2 linked regions of the Arabidopsis thaliana genome follow. The protein of the gene in region 2 interacts with the protein of the main gene of each other region in a biochemical or structural test. Each region holds a gene or a part of one and is shown on either strand. Other genes may lie near its edges. The genes, in order: PIP1A and LRR XI-23.

What was found.
Region 1: the proteins of LRR XI-23 (region 2) and PIP1A interact in a test that uses a peptide from one of them, tested with the Arabidopsis thaliana proteins (one study listed by BioGRID).

The regions. Positions count from the first base shown.
Region 1 is NC_003074.8:22,731,355-22,736,201, reverse strand, and holds PIP1A (plasma membrane intrinsic protein 1A), read right to left. Parts: upstream 2,960-4,847; 5' UTR 2,546-2,959; coding exon 2,218-2,545; intron 1,954-2,217; coding exon 1,658-1,953; intron 1,420-1,657; coding exon 1,279-1,419; intron 1,185-1,278; coding exon 1,089-1,184; 3' UTR 808-1,088; downstream 1-807. Other genes in the region: CYSC1 (cysteine synthase C1), read right to left, coding at 1-23, 153-317; AT3G61420 (BSD domain (BTF2-like transcription factors, Synapse-associated proteins and DOS2-like proteins)), read left to right, coding at 4,442-4,507, 4,606-4,684, 4,772-4,833. UniProt on the Arabidopsis thaliana protein: Water channel required to facilitate the transport of water across cell membrane. Its function is impaired by Hg(2+).
Region 2 is NC_003070.9:3,250,146-3,256,210, reverse strand, and holds LRR XI-23 (Leucine-rich receptor-like protein kinase family protein), read right to left. Parts: upstream 3,895-6,065; 5' UTR 3,804-3,894; coding exon 1,247-3,803; intron 1,160-1,246; coding exon 783-1,159; 3' UTR 557-782; downstream 1-556.

The sequences.
Region 1 (4,847 bases), on a different chromosome or scaffold from region 2:
ACAAGAGGCGTTTTCCCAATAAGCTACAACGTTAACACAGACGAATTTGTTAATCGACATCAGAAGAAAGACGAGAAATTTGCTACAACCCAGATCGCAATTTTGTAGATACTCAATAAAAAAAACGGTTTCTTTTTTGTTCGTTCTTTTACCAGAGAGGCGTCACGTTTGGCGTTGGTAGAGGGGAAGTCTTTGGGGAGATCTCTGAGTCTCTGAGCAAAAGAAGGAGATCCAACGGTGGAGAAGAGTTTCCTCACGGTGTGGCTGAAACAGGGGATCGTCTCTCTCCTCAGTAACCTCCTTGAAACAGAGGCCATTGTTGTCGACTAAAACGGAGTAACCGAAGTTTGAAGAGACAAGAGAGTGAAGAAAAGTTTAGAGGAGGAGTGATTGGTGAGGTGGAGAAGAAAGCAATCATATAAATGGATGAGAAAACGAGACAAATACATTGCATCATCATCCATTACCATTGGTGTTAAGAATATAATAATACAAGTTGCTTGTTGGAACTATGTGAGAAAAGTAATTGTGGATTTGTGGTAAGTGAAGTGTTCTTGTCAGAGTTTTATTCGTACTCGTGGAATGATCAAACTTACAGTCAACTTCTTACACCTGTTTCTAGTAAATTTTTAACTTCTTTTCTTATACAGTTTACTTTTTTCTATCGGTCAAGGAATCTTCGTGCTTTGTTGAAAAGTATTTGACAAATGGAACCATTTTTCTGATGGTTTTTGGTGGCTGTGTCTCAATTCCATTAGGATTTAGGCGAGGTTGGTGACACTGACACGTTTAAAATACCATTACAATACCTAACCGGTTAAGCGGTGATAGACCATCTTAATTTGGGTTTATATAGGTTCTCGTTTACCAATATCCATGTTAAACATCTTTGATCTGTAATAAACATGTTAAACATCATAATTTGCAAATAATTCTCCTTTGGAACTTCTTCCTTGTTTACAAATATTGCATTAAGAGGGCACATAGATAAACACATTGCACACATACATGTAGTAGATCAACAATAGAACTATAGAAGCAACTAAGGACAAGGCCAGAAACCAGAGGACTTGATGTCTTGTTTTTACTTAGCTTCTGGACTTGAAGGGGATGGCTCTGATGACAACCACATGGTAAAGAGCAGCAAGTGCAGCTCCAATGAAGGGGCCAACCCAAAACACCCACTGGAATGACGACAAAAAAAAACGAAATTGTCAGGGAAAAATGCTCGAAACCGAGTTTGGAATGCGATTTGGTATATAGTGTGTGGAAACTCACGTGGTCATCCCAGGAATGGTCTTTGTTGTAGATGATTGCAGCTCCAAGGCTTCTAGCTGGGTTGATGCCTGTGCCAGTGATTGGGATGGTTGCCAAGTGAACCAAGAAAACCGCAAACCCGATTGGGAGTGGTGCAAGAATCTGCACAATTATTACAAAACTCAAGCCGGTAAGCAACAAATCCAATATTGAGAATCAGTCTTTAGTGCACACTAATGGCAGCTTCAAGTTCACTCATTTCAATTGTTTCTAGCAATTGTTACATGGACTGGTTACTTACGGGGACATGAGAGTCACACTAAAGGCAGCTTAAAAGTTCACTCATTTCAATTGTTTCAAGAAGCTATTAGCAGATATGTTACAAGGAGTGGTAACTTACAGGGACATGAGAGTCACGAGCATTTCTCTTGGCGTCAGTTGCTGAGAAGACTGTGTATACAAGAACGAATGTGCCAATGATCTCAGCTCCAAGACCACTTCCCTTGGTGTAACCATGAGCCACAGTGTTAGCTCCTCCTCCTAGAGCCTGGTATTGCTTAGGCTGGAACCCTTTAACCACTCCAGCACCACAGATAGCTCCCAAGCACTGCATCACTATGTAGTACAGAGCTCTAGTAAGCGACAGCTTCCGGGCTAAGAACAGACCAAAAGTAACCGCTGGGTTGATGTGTCCACCTGAGAGTTACATATAAAAAAAATACATTCCAAGATTAGGCTAAAGGACACAATTCATATTAGAAAACTGCAAATTCCACCAAGATTGTAGCTTTCTGAGATTTCTTGAATCAGATACAAATGGAACAAGTTCAGGCTAAGAAGCTATAAATCTAAACACAATTTTCTCAAGATTATAGCTTTATCGTCTTCTTTCACAACCCAAACACTCGGAAACCTAATTACAGTAAAAAGGCGTATACTTGGAGAAGTAGAGTGACTTACCGGAGATACCAGCGGTACAGTAGACTAAGGCAAATATCATACCACCGAAAGCCCAAGCGATTCCTTGGATTCCGACGGAAGCACACATGTTCGGTGACCTTTTCACTCCCATAACAGTCAAGACAGTGATGTAGAGAAAGAGAAAAGTAGCGATGAACTCAGCGATCCCAGCTCTCCAAAAAGACCATGAAGAAAGCTCACCAGGTTCGAAAAACGGAGCTGGTGGTGGTTCCTTGTAGTCCTTGTCACTCTGAGCTGATGTTCCGATTGGTTGTCTCTCCGGGAACTTGTTAGCTCCAACTCTAACGTCTTCTTCCTTGCCTTCCATATCTTCGATCTCTGTAGAGAGAAATTGTAAAGCTCTGTTTTTTTTCTTCTTCTTCTTCTCTGAGTGTGGGATTTGAGAAAGTAGAGTGGTTAATTATATAGTTGGAAGATGTAATGCAAAGAAAGTTGAGAAATAAAAAATAAAGACGATGATGACAAATTGACAATAACATAAAATTTTGTTAATGTTATCTTCGTAGTAATCATACTTACTAAATAAATCTAATTATTGGATTGGGTCAGTGATAATTTAACCGTTTGGACTTTGGACAGAGTTTTGAATGCTCCATTCCAGCTATTTTTGTAGTTTTATCAGTAATGTTTTCTAATCAAAAATAGATCAATGTCTGTTTTTAATAATCCCTCATGATTGTCACTAATTTGGTTAGTTACTAACTGTTACGAACAAAACATGATCCTCCAGTTGAGATGATCTGGCGTTTGCCAGCCAGGATAAGAAGTTAAGAACATCTGTACCATAAGCACCATGCACATTCATTATGTACCATGACTATGACATTCTCCATAATGATTAATGAGTGTACCTACAGAGTTGGGAAATTAAGAGATAGTACCAATAATTCTGTTTTTTCTCTCTTCATGATCGTCTAAACTAACTTTTTTTATTTATGATGATTGATAATCGTTATCGAACTAGTGAATAAATTTTTTCTATCATCAAAGTTACAAAGCACTGGTTTGTGCCAAGATTACAAATTATTTGTTCCTACCACAAAACGTAAGTAGTGTACTAATTGCCAAATAGAAAAGACAATGTTAAAGAAAACAAAAACATGCTTAGTGGTTGCTATATTGTTCTGGAATGGGCCCTATGGCCCTACGCTCTTGTAGCATCCAAGGGCCATCTTGATTACCACCTAGTATTTTCCAACTCCTTATCAATCATTTTGACACTGTAATTAAGTAATTAATGATAAAAAAGGCTCATGTGAGATACTTTCTCAAACTAAAAATCCACATTTACACGATTTGAGGACCTTCAATCTTTAAATTATTATTTTTATATGTATATTTAAGCTGCAAAATAGAAACACTTAAAACCAAAATGTTGAAACATCAGCTAAAATCACTAGCCACTAAAAAAAAAGACCGACCCATTAAGCCTCATGACATGATAAAAGAATGTGTGAAGTGTGATTTTGGAATTTTTATGTTGGAGACTGATTATTTAATAGCCGTCCAATGCATCGACGATAAGATACGTGGAGTCATACCACCTAATGCCGGCGCCTTACATATCCAAAACCGACCATTTATCTTATGACATATGTACTCGATCAATTTATTAATTTTATTGTGGCTGCTATTCATGATTGCATTTGCCCCACCTAGCCACCCCCATTTGCGTCACGGCTCCATAAAAAAAAAAAATATTCATTGACCAAACACAAAAAAACAAGCGAAAATTACCAATGTCCTCCTAACATGAAATTAATAAGACAAATGTTATCGTCTGCCTATAATAAACTAAAAAAAAACAATAAAAAAAAGTTGCGACTTTTAGCTCGAGACAATAAATGGGCCATACATATACGGGCTTAAGCTAACAACACTACTATTGATCGCAGGCCCGGTTAAACAAGGCTCGTACACGTGGCTCTTGAGACTCATCAACTTCGGGTGTGAACTGTTGAACCATCTCAAGACATGAGCTATCACGGCTCGTACACGTGGTTCTAACCACCTCATTATCTCTCGAACTTAAAATTAACAAAATTCCCAAATTATTTAGCTATTTTTGTCTGATCTGCCGACGCTAGCCGTTCTCCTCCGCCAGATTCAAATATTTCCTCCGCCGTCGACACTCCTTACCTCCTCCGGCTCACAAACTTAATCCACCAATTTTACCATGCTTTAGAACCTTGGGCATATATCAATGGAGAAGCGAGTCAAATACAAGAGCTTTGTGAAGGATCCAGGAACTCTTGGATCCCTCGAATTAGTAAGAATACTTTAACTCTTTGCCACTATATGATTTCTATTTTTGTTTCCTTACTCAATGGTTTTTTTCTCAAAGGATCTTCCAATTTTTGTTCTCAGAGTGAAGTGATGCTGCTCTTTGTCCCAAATGATCCTAAATCAGATTTGAAGCTTAAAGTTCAGACTCACAACATCAAAAGTAAGTGTTTGATTATCCATATTGTTCATTCAGATTTATCATGAATAATTTCTCTAAATGATTATTGTGCCATGTTAAATTTCTCAGGTCAGAAATATACCAAAGAAGGATCAAATAAACCTCCTTGGCTCAATCTGACCAGCAAGCAGGTTGTTTTTCCTCG
Region 2 (6,065 bases):
AGAGAAGCAGTATTGTCTGCTTGTGAAGAATGAAGAATTATACAATTTTCGCTTAAGCATTATTGTCTTCTTTCTGATAGTATCTTTTTTTTTTTTGGCTAAATCAGTAAATATCAGTAGATGAAAGTTTAAACATAAATGCATTCTCAACAAAGGAAGCTTTGAATCTCTTATTAGTGGAGCCAAAAGGCCATGAGGTGTCTAAATTTCTTCATCTTTCTTTTATTAAGTTGGTCAAAGTGGGCAACTACAAAAGTTTTTGAGCATACGTAGATTTGACTAACTTTTAGAAATCACAGGAGAGGATATCATAATAATAATTGGTCTATGTCATCACACCAAGAATCCAATTTGAATTTGGTTTCGTTTTGAGAATTTTCTGAATCAAATAATATAATAAAATCATCCTCACGCAGAAATAAATATAACTCTGATTAAAAACTGATTGATTGCAAGTTTTATAGACATTGTTTTACCCAGTCGAATATACACTTCTTAGCAAAGTAATAGTATAGGTGCATATAAGGACCATAAATTTCATTTAGTAGTTGACCTTCATGAACATTTGAAAACCTTAAAATTCTACAATTACAAGAAAATAGTTTACAATGAGATCGTTACAACACCTATGATTTCATAACCCGGAGTACTAGTATTACAACACTCTCCATCTAAACTCTTACGTACGTCTTAATAGATTTAGATGATCCACTTTACTCGATCTCCCTAAGTTTCATTGTGAACAAAACAGACCCCAAAAGAGTGACTTGGTCCCTCAATCATCAACTTATTTCTTTGACCTTGACATCACTCTCTTTGCTGATCACAATCCCCATCAATCTGCAAGGTTCCGCGTCCTCGATCATCTGCACCACGCTCCTCATCGTCGGTCTTAGTCCAGGAAGTCTTGCGGTGCAGATGATCGCAATCCTCAGCATCTTGACCGCGTCTTCTCTATACATTTCTCCTATCTTCTTGTCCACAATCTCCATCACACTCTCTTTGCTCTTCAGATTGTTGCTCACCCAATTCACTATGTCTTTGCTCTCTCCAAACTCTGCCTCTATCGGTTTTTTCCCTGTGACTAGCTCCATCAACACGACCCCGAAGCTATATACATCGCATTTCTCAGTCACTTTTGACGCATATCCATACTCTGCAACAATATTTTTTACTGTCAAATTGTAATTTCAAAATGTAAGGCCATAACAAGCTGATGATATAAGAGTTAAGTCTCTTTATATACCTGGAGCTATGTAGCCATAGGTTCCCGCAACGACATGCGTGGACTCTGGACCGCCATTGCTGGCCTGAAGAATCTTGGCAAGACCAAAATCCGCAATTCTAGGTTTCAAGAACTCATCTAGCAATATGTTACTGGACTTAACATCACGGTGAATCACCGGTCTCTCATACCCATGATGCAAGTACTCAAGCCCTTTTGCTGCACCAAGAGCTATATCATACCGTGTTTCCCAACCAAGATTCGACTTCTTGCAAGAGTGAAGCATGTCCCATAAGCTTCCATTAGGCAAGTACTCGTACACCAGCAAGCTCGAGTCATCGCTCGTGATGCTACAATAGAGTTTCACCACGTTTAAGTGTCGTATCGAACTAAGCGTTTGCACCTCTGTTTCAAACTCTTTCGATCTTCCCTCCCGTTCAGTGAGAATCGGCATTGCACTGCTGAAGTTTTTCTGAGTACTACTACACCGGATGTGTTTGACCGCAACTTCTTTACCATCACCAAGTACTACTCTGTACACATCCCCACAACCTCCTCTACCAATCAAATTCTCTTCTTTGATTGAATCAATGATATCATCTTCAGTGAAACTCATCTTTCGGAATGACTTTATACTCCAAGATTCGTGTTTAAGCGAACGTCCCTCCTTCTTCTCTGTTTTCTTCAGGTACAAGAAAAACACAAGAGACGCTAGCAAGATCAGTAACCCGAAAACTATACACAACACGAACACGCGAGTGTCTCCATGCGATCTCGAAGGATTTATGCACCGGTTAAACGATTTGATCGTCGTGCTACAGAGGCCAGGATTGCCATTGAAGCTACCATTATATGATGACAAACTCAGAGGGATACGACCTGATAATCTGTTGTTAGACAGATCAAGAAGGCTAAGCCTTAAAGACGACAAACTCTCTGGGATTCTCCCAGACAACTTATTGTCCGAAAGATTCAAAGCGTTGAGCGTCGGGAGTGATCCAAGCGTGTGGGGGATTTCTCCGGATATCGAGTTTTGAGCCATGTTGACATCGCTGAGCATCGAGCACGAACCAATCGAGTCAGGTATCTCACCGGAGAAGCCATTGCTCTGCATCTTTAGACTGCTAAGTCCTTTGAGTTTCCCAATGGAGCTAGGAATCTTCCCGGTAAACCGGTTATTGTTAAGCTCAACCTTAGTCAAAGATTCAGTGTCACCTATCTCTTCAGGCAGCTCATCAGACAACTTGTTGAACCCTAGATACAACGCTCCGAGCATTTTACCGTTCTTTATATCCGCGGTGATTGGACCTTCGAAGTTATTCATCTCTATATCGATGATCTCGAGCTTCGGTAATCCCCAAAGTCCCGCGGGAACAGTTCCGTTGAGGTTGTTCTCGCTAACTCTGAACCGTTGCAGAGTCAAACAGTTAGCGTAGGACTCAGGGATAGAGCCAGTGAGGTTGTTTTGCAGGAGAAGCAGAGCTTTCATCTTCCCGTTCTTGCACATATCTGGAGGGATCGGTCCGGTTAAGAGATTCTCTGATGCGTCGATGAAATCAAAATCAGCAAGTGAACCGAGTCCTTGAGGCAGAGAACCGGTTAACTTGTTTGTATACAGAGAGAGATTCACGAGATCCTTGAATTCACCAAACTCCAGCGGAATCTCACCGGAGAATTCGTTTTCGAACATTTGTAGTGAAACGAGATTAGTCAGAGACCTAAGCTCCGATAAATCGCCTTGTAGAAGATTTGTTGAAGCGTCCAAGTAAGTCAGATTCTTCAAGTTTCCGAATCCGGTAGGAAGTTTTCCGGTCAAGGAGTTGTTGTAAAGCTCTAACTGCCAGAGATTAGTAAGTTTCGAAATCTCCGACGGAATCTCTCCGGTTAATCCGCTATCGGAAATCTCCAAATTCCGAAGCTCCGTCAAATCTCCAATCGCCGGTGGAATTTTTCCGGCGATACTGCAATTCGACAAGTAAAGCCACGAGAGTTTCTTCAGAGAAACAACCTCCACCGGGAAATCAGCCGTCGCATCAAACGGATTATCGCCTAGGCTCAAAACGACGAGACTCGTTGCGTTTCGGAGCGATTTCCACGGAAAGACGCCGGAAAAAGCGCTGTTGTTGAGATACAGAAACTGTAACTGATTTAAAGATGAGAACTCAGGGAAAGCACCGGAGAATAAATTGTTGCCGAGATCCAAATACTTCAAACTCGTGCAGTTTTTCAAATCGCTGGGGATTATTCCAGATAGTGAATTGAATCCGAGAGAGAGTTTCTCGAGACTCTGAATCTCACAAACCGAATCGAATGGAAAATTCCCAGATAAACCTCGACGAGAGAGATCAATCTCTGTAACGTTGCCTCTAGAATTACAGGTTACTCCGATGAAGCTACAAGGACCGATACCGGAGTTCAGTTTCCAGGAATCGAACACGGCGAGATTGGAATCGGCGAATGATGATTTGAGCTTGAGTAAGACTTGGAGATCGTCGGAAGAAACGACGGAGAATAGAGAGAAGACGAGGAAGGTGGAGAAGCGGTGAAAGAAGTTGAAATTCCTTAACGACGGAGCCATGTCGGAGAGAAGAAGTGGTGACGGTGGTTTGAGTTGATCGGAAACTTGTTTTTTCACATCGGGAAATTTGGTTAGAGGAGAAGAGAGAGAGAGAGAGAGAGAGAGAGAGAGAGAGAGAGAGAGAGAGGCGGGCGCGAGAAAAAAGCTTAAGCTTTGCCGCTTTGAAGCAAAGTTCTTCTTATCTGGTGGTATCCATTAAATATTCAAATTTTGGCTTACCTTTGTAATCACTATCACTCACTCTTTTTGTTTTCTCTCGTTTTATATTTCTTTATTTATCACATAAACAAAATAATAATTTGCGTCATTGTTTTTTTATATGGTGCTTACGAAAATTAAATTATCTCCAAATAAATAAAGTATATCTTAGTTGAATAATATTGGTTTTATTAAGAGGGACCCTTGATAACTATACTATTTAGTTTTCTGATTATACAGTAAATGTATGTGGAATATTATATGAGCGTTTTGATATATTACTTTATAATTATTATTATTATGGCTTTTTTGGTTTTCATTGACTATCCTCAGAAATTTTTTATTGAAATTGAATAGAATTTTTCAAAAATTTAAAAAAAAATCCACATACAAAACTGAAACGATATCCTACTATTGAGTAGAGTATTGACTAATTAAGTACATTCTTTTGTTAATAGATTATTTTAGACTAGACGTAACGCCGAAATTGTACCTTTGTCATTGAGGAAACTTAAACAAAACTTAACTAAAATCATTATACCCCCAAGAAAAAAAAACTTAACCAAAAACAAAGAAACCAATCCAAAAAAAATATTAAACTACATTATTAATTTATAGTTGTCTTATATGCAACTACACTACATGGTAGGCTTAGGTAGATGTGGTTTTTATATGCAGCGCTATTTTTGGGGCTATATAATATTTTGTACACGTCCGTCGTAAGTATTAATATACATTTTAATCTGCAGTATACCGCAGGACAATTTATTTTTTTAAGTTAATATATATAAAAATTTATATATTATATCTATCTATAAAATATTTTTATTTTATAGTTTACAATTGTTATTAAGTAACGTCCTGCCAAACTCGTCCCGCAAAAAAAAAAACCATTTATTTTGTTAATGTTGATCTTATTTATGATATGTTTATGAATCATTCTCTAAATATTTTAGTCAAAATGGGACGTTGAACTCACATATTTTTCGCCAATTGGTTAATATATGTTCATTTTTTAAATTTTGAATCACAAAATATGACGGAAAAAAATTTGAGATTTTTAAAAACTCTATATATTATATAATGATGTTAAGATTTTTTGATATATTAAACTTTTTATAAGTTTAAATATTAGTAATGTTAAAAAAATTTAAAATATAAATAATAATATTTAAAAAACTAATAGTTTTTGCCTTTTAGGTAATGACATAATAAATCTAAAAGCAAGGATTTAGAAGATTTAAATCTTTAATTAAATATTTTCATTCCTAAATAATTAATGCCAGTAGCATGAAATTGTAAATAAGTTCAAATACAGGATTTATTTATTTAAACAAAAAACGTTTAGTAAGAATAATATTTATTTAAACAAAAACTTTGTTTTAAATATTGTTAACAAATACGTTTATGCTAATTTTAAAGGATTGATGGGAAGTTTGTTTGGATTAAATTTGATTGATAATGTGATTGACAATTTAAATTAAGAATTTAAAGTAAAATGAATTATTTTGGAAAAAAGATTTAATGCTAATGACATTGAGTTGTAAATAAGTTCAACTCTACGATTTATTTGCTAAAATGTCTGCAAAAATATGTAGATGATTGTGTATTATACTTACGTTTCAATTTAATTGAGCTGTTGATGAGGCATCACTATAAACATGTGTTGAACACTTGCTTTTTATGGCACAAGAGTTGCAACTTGCGACAATATACTTTTTTCCAAAGTTAATTAGGAAGTAGTTATATGTCTTAGCTCTTATCTTAAAACAAAACAAATGGCTATTTTTTTAAAAGGAAATTTTCATTCTAAATCTTTAGTTTGATTACCAAATTAACCAACCTTATATTGTGTGTGTACACATTAGGTAATGCAATAATATATCGACTATAGGACTAATAATTAAATTCTGCCGCTCCATAATTGCCATGTTCAAATTTGTTTGAGGGCTCTTTTTCTCGGTGGACTCTTCTTTTTCCGACATAAAACAATAAAAAAAAAGAATTATCATTAGAGCGTTATTTTTATGTTTATGTTGCGAGTATTCATTTGTCATATTCTGA